Lytechinus pictus: one gene and its partners. The protein of the gene in region 1 interacts with the protein of each later gene in a pairwise test. Links are inferred from orthologs where the notes say so. Each region holds a gene or a part of one and is shown in the gene's direction. Other genes may lie near its edges. The genes, in order: COP9 signalosome complex subunit 5, histone deacetylase 11-like and recombining binding protein suppressor of hairless-like.

Region 1 (6,990 bases):
GTTTCTTCATTATTTCTCTTTAATCTTCATTTTTCTTAGTATACAATGTCAACAGGTTAATAATATTATGTATTAGATTTATATAAATCACTTTCTGTCGTAATGAGATGCACAACGCGCTTCAGAACAAATAAGATACTGAAGAACCATCCCCCAAAAAAAACAATAGCAAAAAAAAAAAAAAATTACTAGTTTGAAATTTAAGAAAGAGTGTCTAAATGGATGTCTGTCAAAAAGCAGTGTTACCGTATACAGATCAGTATGTGCATGTTGGTTCTCATTTGTCTGTATTATGGAGTAGTTATATAGACCTTGTCAAAATATCTCCCCATCGTTAAATTCATTTGAATGTTAACAAAGATTGATTCTGTGTGCAAAACACGTATCGTTTTTTTGTCTATATGATATGAATTTGAATAATTATTACTATTAAGGTTTTCGAACAGGGAAGTCTGCCTAAGTCAAAACTCTTTGGACCACCGAAATTTGTGTTTGATGTAGAAGAAATTTGATGTGAAAAGGTAAATACATCACATACTTTTCACAATCTAGCTTCCACATAGGCAATTATTTGGTACGTATCTGCCAAGCATAGAATGAGCAAGATGAAGTCTTTGATTATGCAGAAATTACCATCTTAAAATGACAAGTATGTTGCAAAGTTATAGGGAATAAAGATAAATTTAAACCAGGAAATCGCCACAAAGCTTCATTGTATGCAACTTGTGTTTCAGATTTGGACATAGTAGAATAACATGTGAAGTCAAAATATTTTGAACAGTATTTTAACAATAGATGCATCCTTTGATTTACCACATGTTCGAATACTGGGCAGTTATCCCTATTCCCCATTGCCTTGGCTATGCAGAATTTGGGGATTAGAAGTGGAAAATTTGCTGAATGTAACATTTTCTGATGTAAGCCGCATCATCTAATGTCTCTATGGGCTTCCAAAGGACTTTTGTTATACCTTTGACTTAGTGTTGGAAGCTGTTTATAGACTATAGAGTACACAAGCATTTTAAGGAATTCATTTTTGCCAGGTACATAATGAATAAATGATGCAATTATTGATGAATGTATTGCTGAGAGACATTAGTGCTGCAGCAGGGAGTTGAACCTGAAACCTTGTGATTCAGTTGTGGAGACTTATCCACTGGACCACAATACCTGTACACACAGTGGCTCGGGCTTTTATTTAAGGTACCTTGAGTTAAGTTTTGTTCGTCCTCTTTGAAATTGACATTCCAGTTGTATCAAGCCATAAACCAAAGTTATCATTCAGCATTCCCCAAATCTTGGACAGAATATTTATATTTTAGTTTGTAGGCAAAGGGTTAGTTCATTTTGAGATAACCAAGCAGGGGTAGACTACAGAAAACATTGAAATCTCTAGTCTAGTGTCTGATCTTCTGATCATACATGAGGCATTTCCTATTCACTCTGGGGGTCTGGGGAAGGGAGTTGCTCACTCTTTCACAGTGGCGCCAGAGCACTCTGGGGCCATTTCATAAGAATTTAAGCTAGGGTAACTATTCCTTTAGAACAACAATGGTTACAGGGCTCAGCAGCCAATCACAATCAAGATTACCATGGTATTTACAATAATCTAAAAGCTATCGTAGGTGTAGTTGTAAACTGTTTATGAAACAAGGGCCGGGTGGGTGTTTCATAAAGCAGATCGTAAGATACAAATGACTTTACGCACGACTGGTGATCCTTTCTTGTGCTATGTGATATCTATACATGTATGTAATTGAGTTATGACCTAAGAACTTGTTCCAGTCGTGCGTAAAGTCGTTCATAACTTTACGATCAGCCTTATGAAACACCCACCAGGTCAGGCAAAGGTTTGGAAGGGCAAGCCATTGTGTGTTGACAACGGTTCAACCTTCCAAACTTGTTGGTTTAGAGCATTCAGACGCCACTATTGTCTAACATTATTTTTGGTAACAAAATTCCAACTTTATATGGAATATTACACAGATGTTATATAGAGAATTATGTAATTGAGCATATTGTATTCCAGGGAAGTCTTTGCCAAGAAATGTGTAATTGTTGAAGTATTCATTGTATATTTATTTGCTTGTGATATATCATATTGAGAATTCTTCTACCAATGTCTTCTTCAATTGGAAATATTTATCGACATATCAATATTTATTTTGAATTATTACCGTTAGCCGTGGTGACTTTAGATACAAGGGGCACGCAAGGGTCTTGGCAAGGACCGGTCTTTCGTGTTACCCATGCGCTGTATGAGGCGCTTTCTAGTAATGTAATTAAATCAGCACCACGAAAGACGGTCCTTGCAAAGCTCTTTTGTGCGATCAGCCCTAGGAGGCTCTGAATCAACTTTAGATAAAGATATCCTGCAACCTATTTTTTTCAAAATAAATTTTTTCGTGTGATATCATGAGGCTGTACATGTATTTTATAAATGACAAGAAGGTGAATATCATTGGAGGGGGGGGGGGGTAGTATTACGGATATCGTTATCCAGAAGTTTGTCAATAGCCACTCAGGAGTCGGGGATGGAGTTTCACAAAGATGTTTGTAAGTCATGCACAACTTTGTGTATGTCATTTATAAAGTCATTCTTAAATTACAATCAGCTTTATGAAACAGCCTTCTGGTGTATGAAGTGCCACGGTTGAGGGTACTACTAAAAAAGTGAATGAATTTAGCTGTGATTATTCAAGATATATTTTGTGCTAAGTACTGAAAAGTGACTTTACTGAAACCTTGATTATTGTGAGAATTCCTAATGAATGGCTTACAATTAGAATGTGTGTGTGTGATTCCAAATGTTTATAATAGAAGTGTCTTAAAAAGTTGTATAGATCAGTCGGTTGTGAGTATAATTTAATGTTCAGTATGCGTACATGTATAAATGAACTTGATTAAAAGTACTTGATAAAGCAATTTCTTTTGTGACAATGAAATTAAAGAATATTAATTAAAGAGACAGTGATACTGTTTTCTTAAAAATGAGAAAAAATATTATGTGATGTGTTGTTTCTGGTGTGCAATTATGCATAAGCTGTCTTGTATTCGATAGCAAATTAGAAATTTTACTTAATTGATGGGCCTGTTTCGTAAAACTTTTTTATAATAGCAAATTTGCAATAACAGTTAAAAGTCACTGAAATCTTTCAATCTGATTGGTTGATAGTCTATTTGGTATAGATATTGTGTATTTGCTATTATAACAAGTCTTTACAGGACCCTGTTCCTCATTTAAGAGCATTATGTTAAAAGAGCAAATATTATGAGGAAAAAACTTTGGTTTGATCAACACAGCACCCCCCCCCCTTTCCCCAATAAATAGATGAATACAGACCGCAAGGCAGAAAAGTTGGCCTATATGGTCTTCAGATTGAGCTGCCAAGTAAAAAACAAGTAAGATTTTTGAGCCAACCCCCCCAAATTACCTAATTTCATAGTTGTTTTCTTTTTCCTTTTTTTTTGCTTGTCAAACTTCTTGGTACCAAATTGACCTTCATTTTGTACTGAAGTCTTTTTTTTTTTGCTTGTCAAATTTCTCGGTCAAACCCCCTCTGTAAAACGCTAGACCCACCCCTGTAATCACTTCTGTATCACCATTTGAAACCCGCCTCGATGTGATAGCATGGTGTGCTTGTGTAATCATAAAAGTTCAGTGGATTTTGAGTCGTTTTTGTCTGTATGTTTTTTTATGTAACAACATATGTATAGTAAGTAACTTATGGTAATGACACAGGTAGCATCCCTCAGTTGTATCTCCTTGTTATACATTATGTGTCTCCTCAGTTCCAAATTTTACTGACTTGGGTAGCGGAACTGTGATTAATATCATTAAAAAAAATGCAACTATAATGATTATGTATGAATAGTGTATATGTTATATTGAAGAATGTACTTGGACAATCCCTTCTTCATATTTAATACCTAACATTTTTTTTTCTTGGGGGGGGGGGGGGCGGGGGTCCACATAAAAAAGGCAGAGCTGGTCAAATTAGAACTGCTTTCTTTCTTTCTGCTTGTCAAAATTTCTTGGATGACAATGTCAACCATTTTTTCAAGTTAATCATTTTTTTCTTTTACTTGACAGATCTAGAAGGGCATTTAAAAAACTTACTGACCCCTTATTTATCTTCATCATCATGCTGACCCCTCAGATGGTTAAGGCATTTGTCAGAAATTTTGAAAGTTAAAATTAATTTCTTGTAATGTAATGAATATTGTGGGATGCATGGGGGGGGGGTCAATTTGTCAAATTTTCTCAAGTAGCAGAAAAAAAACGATGCCTGACAAAGAAATGGTGACTTGTTATTTCATTTTGCGGACAAGAAAAGAATTTGAAAGAAAAAATATATTACAGGCTTGCAACTACAATTGTCACTGAGCTTGATCACCAATATGCTTTCATTAGATACTGGTCATCGATCTGCATGTATTTGGCATTAAAAAACACACACAAAAAAGCCCCTCAAAAACGAAACCAAATCAAACAGATTCAGATTTTATAGTTCTCCCCCCTTCTTTCTCTTTCCTTGATGGTTTTAATGGCAACCATATATCATGACTATTTTGCCAATCAAAGCTGTAAAAAATGATATATAGTTTCTTTTTTTGTTCTCTCCTTCAGTTTGTTTCTTTTCTATTCCCTTATTTTTTTTTTCATTTCTCTTTATATCTTCTATGAATTTTTTTCTCTCTTCTTTTCATTTTTTTTTTTGTTTTATCTATTTCTGTTCTTTTTTGTTTCCTTTTCTTTCTAGCTTTCCTTTCCTTTTTTCCTTTCCTTTTATTCCTTTTATTCTTTTCCTTTCTTTCCTTTTCTTTTCTTTTTCTTTTTCTTTCCTTTTCTTCTCTTTGCTTCTCTTCTCTTTTCTCTTTTGCCTATTTTATTATTATTAATTTCAGAAAAATAGGGGCTAACTCATAGAGATATAATTAGTATACATCTCTATGGGCTAACTCCAGTGACGACCTTGACTTTTCTCTCTGCGAAATTCTGAAGAAAATAGGTGACATGGATCGTGAGATAGCCCAAAAGACATGGGAAATGTCTAATAACGTTGAACTTGTTCAAAATGTTGATGAGATTTACAAGTACGACAAGAAACAACAACACGAGATACTGCAAGCAAAACCATGGTCGAAAGAGTAAGTTGTCCTCCCACAGTCAGACTAGTCCCAACCGTTGCAATCTGTGTTGTAAATTTAAGAGGGGATAGGCTTGCCACTGGCTTGCCTTGGCCGGCCACTTCACAATTCTACAAAAACACTTTTTCTTCGCACGCCATGGCCATGGCACGGCTAACTTCTGACTTTGGCATTGACAGGGGGAATAGCCATGGAAAAAAAACCCTAGACCTAGTAGTAGATTAATAAACAAGAATGACTGAGGAATAGCATAGGCCCTACAGTTATTTTTCCTTTGTCTTTCTGTCTTTGCACTGTCTGTGTCTTTTTTATGATGATTCATGATTGATGATTTTGAAAATGAAGTTTTGTTTTACCTGAGCTGATCATGCGTCAACATTGTCTGCTTCTCATTTGTGATTTGGGTAAATGATAAGAAGATGTTCCTGGAAGCTCAGCTGTTGATATGTATGATGGGGTGACCATAATTTGCGCACATTTTAAAAATTATCATGAAGTTGATTTTCAGTCAAAAAATTCTCATAGTTCACACAAAATTAATCAAAATCATAAATACCAGATGGAAGGCAAAATCCCAAAGTCAAATTCGCTTGATGAAATTATAAAGTAGGTCAAGGGTTTCGCTCGTATCGCGATCTAAAAATTCCATGGCGATCGACTAGTGCGTGCTTGGCTGAAAACTTGCCATTAAAAAGTGTGACCTTAATTTGCGCACGATCATTTTGCAAAGCTTTAGAAAAGAAATCAAACAGACAAACGTAAGATAATTATATCAGATGGAGGTTAAAATGGCATAAATTCGGTTGGTATCACATTTTACTTATTTGGAGACCTCTGCTTGCGAACTGGCGATTTCTTGATGATTGTCGAGAAGATCAGATTTTCTCGGAGCGGACGTAAAAGGTAACAAAATTCCCCAATGATTTGCCAATATTTTCACAAATTGAGACCTTGCCTTCAACAAAATTACCATACTGGATAATTTTGGGTGGCTTTTCTGTTGGTTATATAAGTTTTTCAAGATATTAATTAGATAAAGAGATATTCGACTGTGCGCAAAATTAGGTAACGCGCGAATTAAGGTCACACCACCATACAACATTCTTCCAGTAATGAATTAAGTCATGTTGTAATCAAACAAAACTCAAAAAGTTTGCAGCCACCTGCTGGACTTCGGTTGATATTGTAAACCGAATCGCCATGTTTTTACTTGCACCCTCCACCTTTTTTTTTGTAAATAACCTCCAACATCCAACGTCACTGTCGGCCATTGACTGCACATGCACCCATCCCAGTTTAGCTTCAAGTATGAGCTGCAAAAGGGATTATTTCTTCAAGGTGCAAGGTTCTAACTGGCATTCCTAAAATCATCTGAGCATGAAATTATAGACATCTATTTGGAATTTATCAGACTAACACCTTTTGTTTATTTAGCAAAAGATCTAATGGTTGTTTAATAGGGTTGAGCTGTGCACAGCTGTTGCCTTGAGGAATGTTGGCGCTAATAATAGATTTCATTAACCGCAGAATTATGAAATTTTCACCCCTTTTTTCCAAGCTCTAATTAGCCAAATATTTGCGCAGATTTCACAGTCGCTATGATGAATCTCTGTCGGTGCATTGTCGACAGAATTCAAACCACATCACGCATTGGCTTCAATATTGATGTTATGGTTCTACTTCAAGTTTCATTTGCACTTCGTCTTCTCTGCCTTTTTATATATGGACTGAAGCTACATGTAGCTATCAAAATACATTCGTACCTGTCAGTTCCCGGCAAAACCTGTAATGGTACGATAAAACACCAGAAGGTGGTCTGTATTCTGAGAGGAAGAAGAA
Region 2 (7,819 bases), on another chromosome or scaffold:
ATGATGGATAACAAGAAAGGACACTCAGTCATTCAATCATGTTTAGATAACCACTCTTTTGAAGCTTTTCTGTATTCATCAACATTATTATAAAAAAATGTTTTATTTTTTTTTTTTTTTTAAGATTTTCTGCTTTATCATGCTGTTAAACGGGTGAAAAAAAATAGAATTTCACTTTAACATTGCCAAAATATCGGTAAAGTTACCAGGTATCGGTTTAATTCATTCAAAACAGTATTGTATGGCGGTACAATCTGAAAGGTTTACGCCAAAAGCATTATATTGATTACTCGTCCCCCAAAACCAACAAACATGTTTGAGTTTAAATAGGTGACAAGAACGGCTGGACAAAAGTCATGAAATTTAACGATTCAGTCATGTATAATTTAAGATATACTGTCAGGAAAAGGAAGCTTTGAATGATTTTAGGAGCTAAGGGCCATGAAAGATAGAATGAAGGAATTGTGATCTGGCCTGTCAGTTTTCGGAAGATTCAATCAATGAATGTTTTAAGGTTTATTCAAGAATTTGTGAAAGCCTGCCCTGAAAATCTGATACTTGAAACACATTTTTAACCTTTTCTGCCCCCTAAGAAAAGTGAAACGCATCGTACATGATTAAATCAACAAAATAAAATTCATGTCCCCTTAACAAAATATATGACATAAACATACACCCAGCTGCACATGCATTTACGGGGGTTGTCATTATCACGGAAGGACATAGCTCTGGAAGCAAATTCTCACTGAAAAAATGCTCCTTAATAATAATGAAAAATCAAACAAACTAAAGAAGAATTAAATAAAAACGCTAACAATAATAAGCAGAAAGGCTTCCTTTTCCCCTCTCACGCACACGCTCACACATTCAAACTCTAACCAATCTCTCTTCACTCTTCCTTTGATTTATCATCACCAAACACTCTCCAATGACCATCGTCATCATCATGGCCTTCATTTTCACCATTGTCACCGTCATCCTAATCCTCACCATCTCCATCTTCATCATTAAAATTATAAACAAATATTGCCATTCTGCTTTATAAATGTTTTAATCAATTTAATGAGTGTTAATCCGGGCTTGTCATTTTTGTTCAAAGCAACAATGACAATCCTCCTGCAAACTGTATATGTTGAAATTATTTGGTAGTAGATCAGATCTGTTTCGAATGACTTTTTATGTAGTTCATTTTTTTAATGATTCATGCCAAAAAACACTAAGCAATATATTATGTTTGTTATGTAATGAAACATGTATTACATATGAATGTTATGATTGAAGAAGAAAACAATGAAATCAACTCAAATCTCGTACCACACATCGCCTCAAACACACAAAAAAGGGAGTGAAGAGAAACAGAAAATTACGGAAGCTTGTAAGTGCCGTCTATATTTTATCGTGCCAAGCACTACATGGCAATTTGCCAACTATAATTTGAGTATGTTGCCATGTCGACTTCGAAATCATACATCTTACCATGGAGACGTCTTACCAAGTCGACTTTTAGACAGTTACATGTCGCAATGGCAATTTAGTAAACTTCAAAAAGGTTTATAGGTCGTCATGGCGACATAAGTCATTTCTCCAAGTCGACTTTTAGAGACTTAGATGTTGTCACATCATAGAGAGTAAAATGATAAAGTAAACTTCTGGAAATTTATACGTTGACATATGAACATAACTTATCTTTCTACATCGACTTTATAAGAACTTTGTCACTATGTCAGCATAATGAATTTTGTGAAGATGACATTTTTGACTTTTTTAAGAGCTTGAAAGAAAATGAAGAAAATAATTTCGGATATTCTACTAAGTGTAGTGAGGACTGGTACCAGGGGCGGCGATCCTAGCGGGACTGTGGCACAGCCCCCCTCAACTTTTTGAAGCACTGAAAAAGTGCCCTTTTTATGCGAGAAAAATGCCCCCTCAAAAACATGTACTGTGCCCCTTTCACATGCGGACACATTTTAGGTGTTACCAAGTGCCCTTTCTCTTTAATATAAGTGCCAATTAAAAAAAAACCTCTTGAATATGTTTTGTGCCCTTTCCACCTGAGAAGGACCTGTTTTATGTGTTAGCAAGTGCCATTTCTCGCATTAGTGCCCATTTTTACCCAAAATTGCCCCTCACGAACGTGTTCTTTGCCCTTTTCACCTGAGAAAGACCCGTTTTATGTGTTAAAGAGTGCCCCCTTGCCTTCTTGTAAGTGCCCTTTCTTGAATCAGTGCCCCTTATATGTATAACTACTCATGAAGGAAAACACTTGTAAGAATAATCCCGCGTGTCTTAAGTTTCATAAGCCATGTGAGTGGGGGTAGATAAGTCTTTTTTTCTTTGTTTTAAGATAGTGCCCTTTTCGAAAGAAAAGGTGCCCGTTTCCCCTGTGCCCCCCACTTTTAACTTAGCTCCGCCGCACCGCCACCGACTGGTATTCATATCACATAATAATATTTATCTTATCTAAATAAATAATATTCTGCCCTTTTAAATCCCCCTTACATGTAGCATCGGCTTCAAAAGAATGACTTTTAGATCAGGAGTAAATATTTTGTAGCTTGATGTAATTACTTCCAATTTCATAACACCTTGTCCGAAACAAGTACAATACTAAAAACTGTTTTGAAATCACGTTCATGCAAAATTAATGATTGCCGTGCGGTCCAATGAAACTAACTGGTCAGTTGGCTGAATATATACTCCTTGCTATCTACTGAAGATAACATTCAATTTTATCTTCAGTAGATAGCAATGAGTACATTAGACTTATTTGACGGTGTTGAAACGGGGTTCTACACCCGCTATTCTTGAAGATCGCTATAGTCGTAATCGGAAAAGGGGCCTTCATTCATAAAGGCCGCTGTTCATAATCACATGAGAGGGTCAATAATTGTAATTGAATAAGATGGTCGATAATATTAATCAAATAAGAGAGTTGCTAGTCATAATTTAATGAGAGGGTCGCTATATATTCACAAGCAAATAAGACGGTTAATATTCTTAATCAGGGTCAATAATCCAAATTTTTGATAGGATGTTCGATTGTCTTTATTAAATGAGATGGTTGCTATATACCTGTAATTGAATCAACCGATCAGGAGAAGGATATGCAGAAGCTAAATTCCATTTAATTTTACAGGCGATTTCAATTTATAATAACAGTCGTACCGTAAGTGAAACTGAAACGCATAGTACACACCTAAGTATGATGGAAACCCATGCAGGGGGGGGGGGTAATGTGACGGCATCCTAGATGCGAGAGGCGTAGCAACCGAGCCAGAAAATCGTTTTAATCAGTGAAACTTATACCATTATTTTTACCTTAAAAAGATACCCTGCATCGAAGGGACAATTATGATATACATAAGTTTAGAGACCGAAAGAAAGTCTACTATTTCATAAATGAAATTTAGAATTTTAAACCCCAAAAGCGCTGTGGAAAAGGGCAAGAATAATAATTTAGTTTTCGCCCGTCAACATGAGCGTTGTACCTACATGTACAACACAATACATAACAGTACTATTGATATTGTAGTAAAGAGATGAATGTATGTTATATGCCTGCGAGAGAGCGTAACGACCGTGTAAGAAATTTTGAGTTTATCTTGTGAAACTTTTGAACCCACGCAGGAATCAATTAGGGCACTTTAGTAGAAATTAGTACATTTACCCACGACACGGTAACCAAAGGGCCTAAAGTGAGACATTCCATTGAATGGGGCCTTTCTTCAGGAGTAGAGGTATCAAGTGTGTGTGTGTGTGTTTTTTTTTTTTTTGGGGGGGGGGCTATTTAATCTTGCACAAAAATGCCCCTTCATTGAATCTCTTATTGATAGGGTTCCAAGTGCCGAGTTTTGGGTCATTTGGTGAAAATAGCATATATATTATTTTGCTTATGATACGGTCTTGAAGGTCCAAATATATTCCAAGGTCCCCTCCCCAAATTTCCTATCACCAAAAGCAAAAATGATTTTTTTAAAAATGGGAAAAGGGTGAAATAATTTTTTCAAATTGTTGGAATCTAACACAAAATATGCTTATCATATTAAAGAACGTCAAAATGTTTGCTCGCTTGCTTCACTCGCTTGCAACATTCTAGAAATCTTGCTCCATAGGCCTATATGTTTTGCCCATTTCCAATGACAGAGCCCCGCCTCCAATTAACTCTTACAAGAAAATAATTAAAAGACGAAAGCCCTTAAAAACTGCGTGATAAGAGATACATAATCAAGCTGATATAATTATGTTATAACTTTCGACCATTATTTTGCTATAAAATATAGGCCTAGATAGGAATCCATTAAAAAGTTTTATGAATCTAGATTATTTCTACGCATCTTTTTTTTTTATCCAGCGTGTTTAAACAATAAAAATAACAATTATGCTTGCTTGAAACTAAGATTCATTTCATTATCATTCTATACAAACTTGCATACTTATATTAATACACAAAACAATATTCATTTTTGTGTATGTGCATAAAAAATATACATTTTCAGGGTTGAGAAGGCCGACCCTCCCCGCTTAGAAGGAGAGCCCCCATAATGGACCCCACATGCCTGTAGTCGTGAGTGCAGTGAGCTTTCCAAAAAATCTTAGTTTGATTGAAAAAGGAATGAATCCTAGCCAACATTTATGTAATAAAATAATGAATTAAAATTATAATATCAAGAAAAGGGAGGTGGAGAGTTTTGGTTTACCGAGAGTTTACATGACATCCATTGACAGGTACATGACGTCAATCATGAATATTCATTAGTACGGTACCGTAAATTTGGCGAACATACGGAAAAGCTGTGGCCTGTGCGAGTTATTAACGAACGGTCCTTTCCAAAACCCGGGCCCAGCGCGGCCCCGATCACGATTGTCTGATTTTCGCTAGATTGCATATATTGCGACGTATTTTGGTTCAGGTGCTACCAACGATGTTCCGTATAGGTCTACAATTTCTACAAATATGGCAGAATCTGGAGACAGTTTGCTAAAAACCACAGACGGAGAAGTTGTATTAACCGAAGGAGAAAGGAATGGGAATAGAGAGAGTAAACATTGGTAAGAAACACGAGAAATATTCTGACAAAAAAAAAATCAAAATCATAAATGGAGTCTGGACTCTGGAGATGATTAGACTCTTTTAACGTTAGAGCCGCCTATTTTAATTTTTAGGGAGTAAAATAATTCACTATTATTAAACGATAACGTGAGCTTACAATATGTTAGTGAATGATTTTTACTCTCTAACATTAGGAGCCTCCTGGCCAGGGGCGGAAATCTTTCCCAAAAGGTAGGGGGGACAAGGCAGGGCTGGAAAATTTGACAAGCAAAAAAAAAAAAGGTATCATCCCAAAAGTAAGGTCATCTCGTCCTAAAATACATGTTTTATTTCGATTTTTAATGATGTATTTCTTACCATCATAAAAGACCACAAATAGTACTTAGTAGGGGGGACATTTGATAATATTGTGTCCCCCTACTATTTTGAGTAGGGGGGACACGTCCCCCCTGGGATTTCTGCCCATGGCAGCTCCTGGCTAGGGATGACTATAGGTCTAGTCTAGAATCAAGATCTAAAAATTGTGACATTAAAACTCAGAGTCAAGAAAATAGTGTCATGTTTTTAGATGATTGATGGAGGGGGGGTGGGCGGAGATACCTGCCATTGGACAGTACAGTGACAGCATCCGCGACAAAGAAAACATGGGAAAAGGGGTGTGTATTTTGTGGGAAGGTGCGGAACATGAATAGGGGGTGTTGCAAGAAAATAATTGCAATCGCAAATATTCTGTTGCAATTCTACAGTTGATTGATCACTTTTAAAGATAAATTCCAGTTGTGGGAATGATCTCAAAATGACTTTTTACAGAATTTAATATAATGATCACCAAAGTGTCTGTTTGTATGAATAAAAAATATGTGCCAAAGGATTCTGGAAGAAATTGTGTAATTGCTGAGAAATAAGCAAAATAAGCGCGGATTCGGTCACTTCCTTCGGGTCTTTATTCCAGCAATAATAATACACTGTCCCACGTGTGCCTATCTGTGTCGGCGATCTTCAGTGTGATCATTTTTTTAGCTAGATATTATGATTCCACAAAGTTCAGTTTATGTAACTGTACCAGATCTAGATCCACGATGATATATCAATACTTTACCTTGGTTTTACAGACTTTCTCACGAAATCAGTGTTTTACTGCAACTACGTTCATTTAGCTTTAACAAATCAGATTACACTCCTTGTTTCATGGAGCAGATGAGCAATCAATTAATTGCATGGCGTATGATTGATTTCGGGAACGAAAATAGACTTGCAATTGATCGCAAGTTTCTTGCAACGCCCCAAATGAGGAAAAAAAGAAAAGTCCCCTAGATCTAGATCTCAATGGTCTGAAATGCGAACACTGATATGTCCGCACTCCGCACTCGAATATACTGTACCACTACCAAACACAGGGTATGTTTAGTGCATGCTGCATCAGTGGCCTGCATCAGTGGCCTCATTCACTCATGTTCAGTCATTGAATCACCCATGGAAACAACATGCGCTGCGCATAGAAAATCACAGGCACAACGCATGTAACACGTCCATGGGATTGTGTGAAATTCCAATGCCTAATCACTACATTAATAGATTTAAACTATAAACTTACCGAACAATATGAAGTCACTTTCCCGCTTTTTCATCCTTCTCTTGATTTTTCCAAATGATTTTTCTTGATGTTGACGAGAGCCATTTAACTGTCAAAGCGATATAGGAATTTTTCACCTTAAGAGGGTGCACAATTGACACTACATCATGGAAAAGATGAGGCACTCAAACTATTTTACTAGCAAATCAATGCAAAGTGTCATGCAAGTCGGCAATATGTTCAGTCTTTTCATTGTAGATCTATAGACTTTGGTATACCGTTTGTTGACAAACGAACAAAGGCATGTATGGTTGGAACTACCCCTTATCGACCACCTAATCTGCAAAAATATTTATCAGTTTTTCCTTATTTTTCACAAAACAGTGATATGCACAACTTGGTGAGTCAGTCGATGATGTCCATCACTCACTATTTCTTTTGTTTTTTATTGTTTGAATTATACAATATTTCATTTTTTATAGATTTGACAATAAGGACCAACTTGACTGAACCATATAGTATTAAACAATGCTAATTACACATGTTCAGGGAGGAATTAATTGTTGTATCACTTGACAATGAGGAGAAAATTATAATATTTCATATAATAAAATACAAAAGAAATAGTGAGTGGATGACGTCACAGTCTCCTCATTTGCATACCAGCCAGGATATATGTGCATATAACTTTTTGTGAAATTAAGCGAAAATTTTTAAAATGTCATAACTTTCTTATTTTACATCAGATTTTGATGAAATTTTCAGTGTTATGCTTGTTGGATTTTTCTCTTTTTATTCAAATAAACTTTTTGTTGGGGTGGACTTGTCCTTTAAGGATCCAGGCTATGCCTTGCCTACAACACACTAGTGTTAAAGGTGCAAGTGGAAACCAGTTGTTGTAGAGAAAGCCAATATGTGTAGCATTGGCTACAACACTGAACTTCTCAATGGCTAAATTGGCCACTTTGCATTCAATTATGAGAAGTTAAACTAAAGGTTAAACTAAATTTTTTTCAAATGAAAGTCCATCAACTTATATGTAGTTAATTATTTAACTATTAAACATGTATGCAAAGTACATGTATACTTTGTAGGCAGAGTTGACTTTTACTGTTTCTTGATGGTTCCTGCCATTTATACTCAATTCCAAATGTAATTGCATGTACAGTATTAAGAGCTCCCTACATACGTGAACA
Region 3 (7,315 bases), on another chromosome or scaffold:
AATATTCAGTTGTTATATAACATGTATCACATACCATTTAACGTCTCATTGTGATTCCAAAGGACTTAATATGATTAAGTTCCCCAATGGATGGAAAATAATGACCCCCCCCCCCCCCCCCCATTGTAGATTTGTGAACTTTCCTTGATCATTATTTTGTCTTCTTCTTTTCTCCTTTGTTGGTGCTTGTCAAACTTCAGAGAAAATGTGAACTGTAAACAATTTCTTAGAGAAGACATTATTAATGGGGTAACAGTTTACTCACTTCATCAAGGGGGATGGGGATTGGTTGCTAAAGGAATGCCAAACAAAATGGGGAAAAAATCGCATACCCCCCTTAAAAAAAACCAAGAGTGCTGGTGGATAAACCTATTTCTATTGTACTAGTAATTGAACTATGCTGGGGCAATGGGACCCCTCCCAGGTATTTTCGGGGTAGGTTACAGCACTGCCCCCCCCCCCCGATAGGGATACTCCGGGCTGAAAATATTTCAAAGAGAGTAAAATTCACAAAGCAAAATGCTTCAATTTTCATCAAATTCGGATAACAAATAACGCAGTTATTGAAATTTAAAGTTTAGCGATATTATTGTGAAAACAGTTAATATGCACGTCATCATGAATATTCATTAGGTGGGCTGATGATGTCACATCCCCACATTCCTTTTTCTTATGTTATCACATGAAATTATAATTGTTTCATTTTCTCTTACATGACTGTGTTAATAAAGTGTCTCCATTATCATAAGTTGCAGCAATAAATAACTAATGCACTTAATCAGTTGTCAATCCAATTGATTTAGTGCTTGGTAGAAAAACAATTTGAATAAACCTAACTTCAAAATACAAAAGAACAATTGGGGATATGACATCGTCATTTTGCTCACTGAATATTTACGAAGACATGCCAAGAACTGTTTCACCGGAATAATGCAAATCTTAAATATCCAATAACTTTGTTTTATTTGTTATCCGATTTTGATCAAATTTTCCGCATTTTGCTTTGTGAATTTTACTCTATTTATATTTATTGAATATGAATATTGTCAGCCTGGAGTATTTAATAAAATGAGCTTTTGTTTAGGATTTTTTTTTATCTCTACCCCCCCCCCCCCCGAAATAAAATAATATCCTGTTCCATCGTCCCAGTAGTGTATTGAAATCAAATTAGTAATATATCTCTATGATTCACCCGACACCATTGAGATCTCCACACGGAAAAAAACAAAGCAATCATCGATCGTAAAACTGAGATGATTTAGAATCTTCAACACGAGATGGCGGTATACAGTTTAGGAGCAATCCCATTATGAAGTTCGATGACGAGAATTATAGTACCGATGTTTAAAGGTCAAGTCCACCCCAGTAAAGTTTTTTTGTATTAAGTATTTTTTAATGACAACTTCAATTCATATACAAAATAAAAAAACAAACAAATAGAAGTTTGATGTCTTTACAAATTCATTAACACCTTGACAACTCATAAATTTAACACTATTTTTCTTAAGTGTTACAATAAAACACAACATCAGACATCTTCCAATACATAATTATAGATAATAATAATTATACATTACGAATAAGCTTCTACAATAAATTCAACATATTCATTTTTTTTCCAGTGTCAAATATTAATGATGATGATGTCACATCCACACTTGTTCTTTTGTATTTTAGTATATGAAATTAGGTTTATTCAAATTTTTTCCTCCAAGAACTAGAAAAATTGGATTGACAATTCTTGCAGCAATAATGCACTAATATTCATTGCTGCAACTTATTTCATTTTAAGGGAGACATATTATTCACACAAGTATGAAATAATGAAAAATTTATGATTTTATGTAATAACATAAGAAAACGGAAAATGGGGATGTGACATCATCAGCCCACCTAATTAATAAGTCAAATTGCTAAACTTTAAACTTCAATAATTTTATTATTTGTTATCCGATTTTGATGAAATTTGGGCCGGGGGCATTTTGCTCATTGAATTCTACTCTATGTATTAAGATATCAATATTTTCAGCCCGGACCATCCCTTTAAGGGTATCAAAAACACCGATTAAAAAAAGTATAGTTTTGAAAGACTGGTCAATGGTCAATTGCAGGGTGAAATGTATAAATTTAGGGAATGTTTTTTTCAAAAGCTTTTTTTTTTGTTAAGGCTAGCCAAACGTGTTTAGGGTATTTTCCCTCCAAGCTTTTTCCCCGGGGTCATATTCTGGCAACAACTTGTTTAGGGGCCAAAATGTGTATATAAAGCCTGCGAAAACTTGTGTAGGGGATTATTTTGCACACAGAGAAAAACTCGGGGGTGTTTGGAAATAATTTGGCCACGCGTGTGTACAGCAATACATTTGACTGCCCCCCCCCCCCCCCGTGATAAAATGGGGGGAAATGCTAGTTGTTTTGAGAAATTTATTATAGTGTATCCTGTCTGCAGATATACCGAAACAGTTTATTCCGGGCAGGCCGCTGTCTCAGAAATGCTACCTCTGTTTTTTTTATATTTTTTTTATTTGCAGTTACTGATTTATCGACAGGGGCGGTGGCATGTGCTATATTTGTTGGCAAAATAACCTATACAGATGAGATGACGTCATTTATACAAGACCAATTAATAAGACAGAAGACAACATGTGATGTCATCATTCCTTCTATGAGCCATGCCGTATAATATGACTGTTTTCTTTTTTATCGACTTAATTGTCTTATAGAACTTTTTAATTTGACACCTGATTTTATTTTAGTGATCATGTATTCTTGAAACACGCCTGTAAAAATATGATTAAAAAAAAACAAACGGAAAGCCAATTTAGTAATGGTTCCTCGAAATGGGTGTGCGGGGCAGTGGTGTAATTTTCTGCCCGAGCAAAAAAAAAAAGGCTCAAGTAATTGAATGAATGAATTAATAGATAAATAATAGAACAAATAAATGAATGAATACATAAAAAATCAATAAAAAACGAATGAACAAATCATTGAAATCAAGAAATCAATACTCAAACAAATAAATCATAAAAAATAACAGAAAATGAAATACGGTGGGGGGTGCTCATCCCCTCACCGTCCTGACGTGCCCCCTATAATTTTGACGTCAAGGTGGTTTAATCAAATTATATCGTATTTAAATGAACGATAATAATGATACTGATATAAGAAAGATTACTGTTAATTACTGTTCATTTATATTTCATCCGTTTTTCTTCTTTATTTATTAATATTTAGTGGATTTTGTTCTTATATTTTTAATCATTCCAATCTCACAAATAATTATTTTTGTTACATTTTTTTCACATTCAGAATCAGAGAGAAAGAAAGGAGAATAAAGTGACAAAAATCGTGATCTCTGTGGTGTCATTTTTTTGACAATAATGGCCTGATACGATGTCCCATATTTTTTTTCTCCTTCAGAGAATTGATCGAAGGGGCCGCCTCCGCCCATTTACACAAGTTCAATTTGCCCTGAACATGACTGTCAACTAGGTCGCGCAGTTCCGAAACCATTGTGTACTGGGAATTTGAAGATGTAAAAGAAGTTTCTTTGTGCCTGGGTATGGTCGCTGCACAATCATGGACTAGTCGATTATGGGGTTCCACAGAATTAAATTAAAAAATAGAAAACATATATTGTTCTGCATAATTCATAAAGAACTGTATGGATAAGAATGTTAAAAGACTTAAAGGCAGGCAATCATTCTTTTAGTCAGAAATATTGATATTAGGGAAGTTCATTTAAAACGACAGGTTCATAATTCTCCCTAAAAATAATGGACGCGTCCACCAGCCTTGCCTGGGAAATCTGTATGCAAATTAGGCATTTGCCTTTTTATCCACATGTCCCCTCTGAGGAAGCCAAGGTCAACATTGGAATGAACTTTTTTTTACTCGATGTTGAAATAAACTGTAAGCTATTCCCAGATCAACGTTGTTTTGGGGTCGAAACATATCCTCCTTGCAAATCTTTAGTAATGGCAACTCGAGAACGGGTAGCGATGTTTTGTTTGAGATTTTAATCCGAGACACACAACAGTGTAGGGCATGGGAAAAACAGGAGGTCTATCGCATTGTTCGAAACCAACTGCAGGGCAGCGAACAAAGGCCGAGTCGCCCTTGTCTGACCCCGTTATCTAATCCAGGGGGAGGGTAGTTTCGATGGGAACAGCCATTCCCACGGCTCATAATCAACTATGTAAAGTTCCCACGGTGTGCTTTTCAGGACCGAAACAAGCGGTTGCCAATTTCACAAGTGATTTTCGTGGACGATTTTCAGCTGGTTATTTGATTATTTTTCTTAAAATATTTCATATTCTTGTAGTAACTTGTATTATTAAAATATTAACAAGAATTTAAGAATTATTTATGATATTTAAAGAATTAGAAACGCCATTTAAATTCATACAAATTTCTATAAATGTATTTCTAAATTGTATTACGCAAATTGATCGTGGGAATTTGCCGAGTGGGTGAGAAGATTCGCCCAAATTAACGCGAAGTTGGTGTCTGGAGCTGGAAGAGGACTCCGTAAAAAGTGGTGCAGAAACTTTTCGTCATAATTGGATTTAATGCGGTAAATATATGATTATCGTTGCTTATAAGGTTAGAAGTGAAGAATGGTTGTTGTGGATGATGTTCAGAGCGTTTGATCATGTTTTGTAAGATTAGAGGGTTAACTATGAGAGAGATGAACTTGCGAATGGTGATGATGCGATGCCGATGAGGGTGACAAGTGCAGGCCCTGTGCAACGCAGTGGTCGTGATCTATGCACTGGGCCTGGCTTGCGCTTGCGGCTGATTGTAGCAGGAGCGAACTACGCTGCACTCTGGTCTCTGCAATGCGCTTGGCGGTGATTTTATACATTGCAATTGGTAATCCTTATACGGTAAGCTATGACACAGGTAGAGAGTACTAAAATGTCAGAAATTGTTCAATAAATCCCCAGTAATCCCCAGAACGGGGGGTTATTCTTGTCTAGTCTCTGTCACGATTATTATTTTGGCAGTACGGTAGTGTGATTAAAAAAAGAGAGGAAAAGTTACAGCATTTCTGGGTGACCATAACTTGCGCACATTTTAAAAATTATCATTAAGTTAATATTCAATCGAAAATTTCTCACAATTCATAAATAATCAACTCGTAAATACCATAACGAAAGGCAAGATCCCAGACTAGAAATAGAAATTGCTCGATGGAATTATAAAATAAGGATTAAGGTCATTGTTTTGCTGGTATCGTTATCTCAAAATTCTATGGCGATCAACCAGCTTGTGCGCTCGGCTGAAAAAGTGTCATGAATCAGTGTGACCTTAAAGGAGAATGAAACCCTTGAAACCAGCTGAATCAGATCAAAGAGAAAAATCAAAGAAACATATTGTTGAAAGTTTGAGGAAGATTGAATGAATAATAAGAAAGTTATGAGCATTTGAATATTGAGATCACTAATGCCATGTAGATCCTCCCATTGGCAATGCAACTAAGATCTGTGATGTCACACATGTACAACTCCCTCATTACTTTAGTACTTATTTCACTTATATTCTCACTTTCATAGAGTCTATCACAAGGTGAGGTGTTCTCTTTATGAGAGGACAAGTACAGAGGTTTCACAACATTATATCACTGATGAATCGTTTGTCATATGATTAGAATGAGCAAAAAGAGATGTTTTTGGGTATATTTTCAGTGTCCAAAAGGGGAGAGTTGTTCATCTGTGACATCATAGATCTTGGCCGCATTGCCAATAGGAGGATCTCCATAGCATTAGTGATCTCGACATTCAAATGCTCATAATTCTTCTATTGCTAGTCCTATTCCTATTTTACTCACACTTTTGTTGATCTTGTTCTTTGATTTTTCTGCTTTTACAAAAGCTAACTTGCTCCAAGAGTTTCATTCTTCTTTAATTTGCGCTTGATACTTTTGCAATGCTTTGAATTAAAAAGAAGTCTAGGAGTAGGAGACATACATGTTATTGTACCGTATCAGATGGAGGTTGAATGCCATAAAATCGGTTGGTATCACATTTTACTTACTTTGAAGACCTCTGCCTGCAAAGTGGCGATTTCTTGATGCTTGTCGAGAATTTCTGATTTTCTCGTAACAGATCTGGGAAGACCAGCTAATAATCTATAGCTTTTTTAATAAAAAAAAAAAAAATTCACCCTGAAAAAAAGTTGGTTAAAAAATAAAAAATAGAGAAAAATAAAGAATAAGAGAGGTGGTTTTTACTTTCTTTATATTTTTTAATTTTTTAATTTGTGATGTCATACATGTATGTATGACTATGAGCAGTTCCTCCAAATATAAATTTCAATATTATGATGGAACACGATGAGTTAATAGAATATTTTTCTTATAGAAGGGGGCATGAAATTGGAGTAGTATGTGTCTGATCATCACTGTATGGAGGCAAAAAATTAAGTTTTCATTTTTTGGGGCTTGCTTTCACAACATACTGCAGGGGCTGTGGAACAGTTTTCAGAGTGGGGGGGGGGGGGGCTTGAGCCAAAAATGGAGGGGGCTGACCATGCAAAAAATCACAATCCTATTGTACTTTTTACGTTTTTGACTTTTTGTACACGGTTTTGGAAAAAAAGGGGGGCTGAAGCCCCCCCCCCCCCGCTTCCGCGGCCCCTGTACTGCCTGCATGTAAATCTGCAACATTGGATAAGCTGCAGCATTGCATGCAATGAATGGGGATTTCCGCTTCGACCGCAAAGCATCTGCTCTTTCCGCAATGCGTCCGCTTCGCAATTATTCCCCGGTGACCCATTTGGAGCTGTCATCCACTTCCAACCGCAATGCTACCGTTGAACAACCTTTTATTACATTCCCGCTACATACTGCCCATGTCCGTCCTTTTCGCAAATTTTCACAAATTTTGTCCATTTCTGGTGCGGATGAAAACGGATGGAGCCCCCCCCCCCTGAAATTTTGCTCGTCTGCTGGGTCTTGTATGGGTATAAAATTTCCATTTCGCCCACTGCCAGCTCATCCACTCACCACATGGTCTACATGTACCTTCAAAGTCTAATGCCATTCCGTCCATCAATATTTTGTCTAACAACCATTTAGTCCAAAACCATCACGTTTAGTCCAAAATCATCACTTTGTCTAATCACCAGTTCGTCTATCATTTTCATTTCATTTTCAATTTTCATTTATTTTATTTCAACACGGTAAACGAACTTCAGCCAATGGCTGTTCTTCTGAACGTCCGTGCGTACATATTAAAATCACATTACATGAATTAAGATACATAATACGAAATAAATATCCAATTAAAATATCATCAATATTACAAAGAAAAAC

Evidence for each region.
Region 2: the proteins of COP9 signalosome complex subunit 5 (region 1) and histone deacetylase 11-like interact in a two-hybrid assay, tested with the Caenorhabditis elegans proteins (2 studies listed by BioGRID). The link is inferred for Lytechinus pictus from reciprocal best matches to the Caenorhabditis elegans genes csn-5 and hda-11.
Region 3: the proteins of COP9 signalosome complex subunit 5 (region 1) and recombining binding protein suppressor of hairless-like interact in a two-hybrid assay, tested with the Caenorhabditis elegans proteins (3 studies listed by BioGRID). The link is inferred for Lytechinus pictus from reciprocal best matches to the Caenorhabditis elegans genes csn-5 and lag-1.

Annotation. Positions count from the first base shown.
Region 1 is NC_087261.1:2,506,418-2,513,407, forward strand, and holds the start of COP9 signalosome complex subunit 5, read left to right. Parts: upstream 1-3,951; 5' UTR 3,952-5,017; coding exon 5,018-5,151; intron 5,152-6,990. UniProt on the Caenorhabditis elegans protein: Probable protease subunit of the COP9 signalosome complex (CSN), a complex involved in various cellular and developmental processes.
Region 2 is NC_087247.1:25,632,764-25,640,582, reverse strand, and holds the start of histone deacetylase 11-like, read left to right. Parts: upstream 1-4,754; 5' UTR 4,755-4,954; coding exon 4,955-5,049; intron 5,050-7,819.
Region 3 is NC_087250.1:10,336,148-10,343,462, reverse strand, and holds the start of recombining binding protein suppressor of hairless-like, read left to right. Parts: upstream 1-4,206; 5' UTR 4,207-4,573; intron 4,574-7,315. UniProt on the Caenorhabditis elegans protein: Transcriptional regulator that plays a central role in lin-12/Notch and glp-1/Notch signaling pathways, involved in cell-cell communication that regulate a broad spectrum of cell-fate determinations.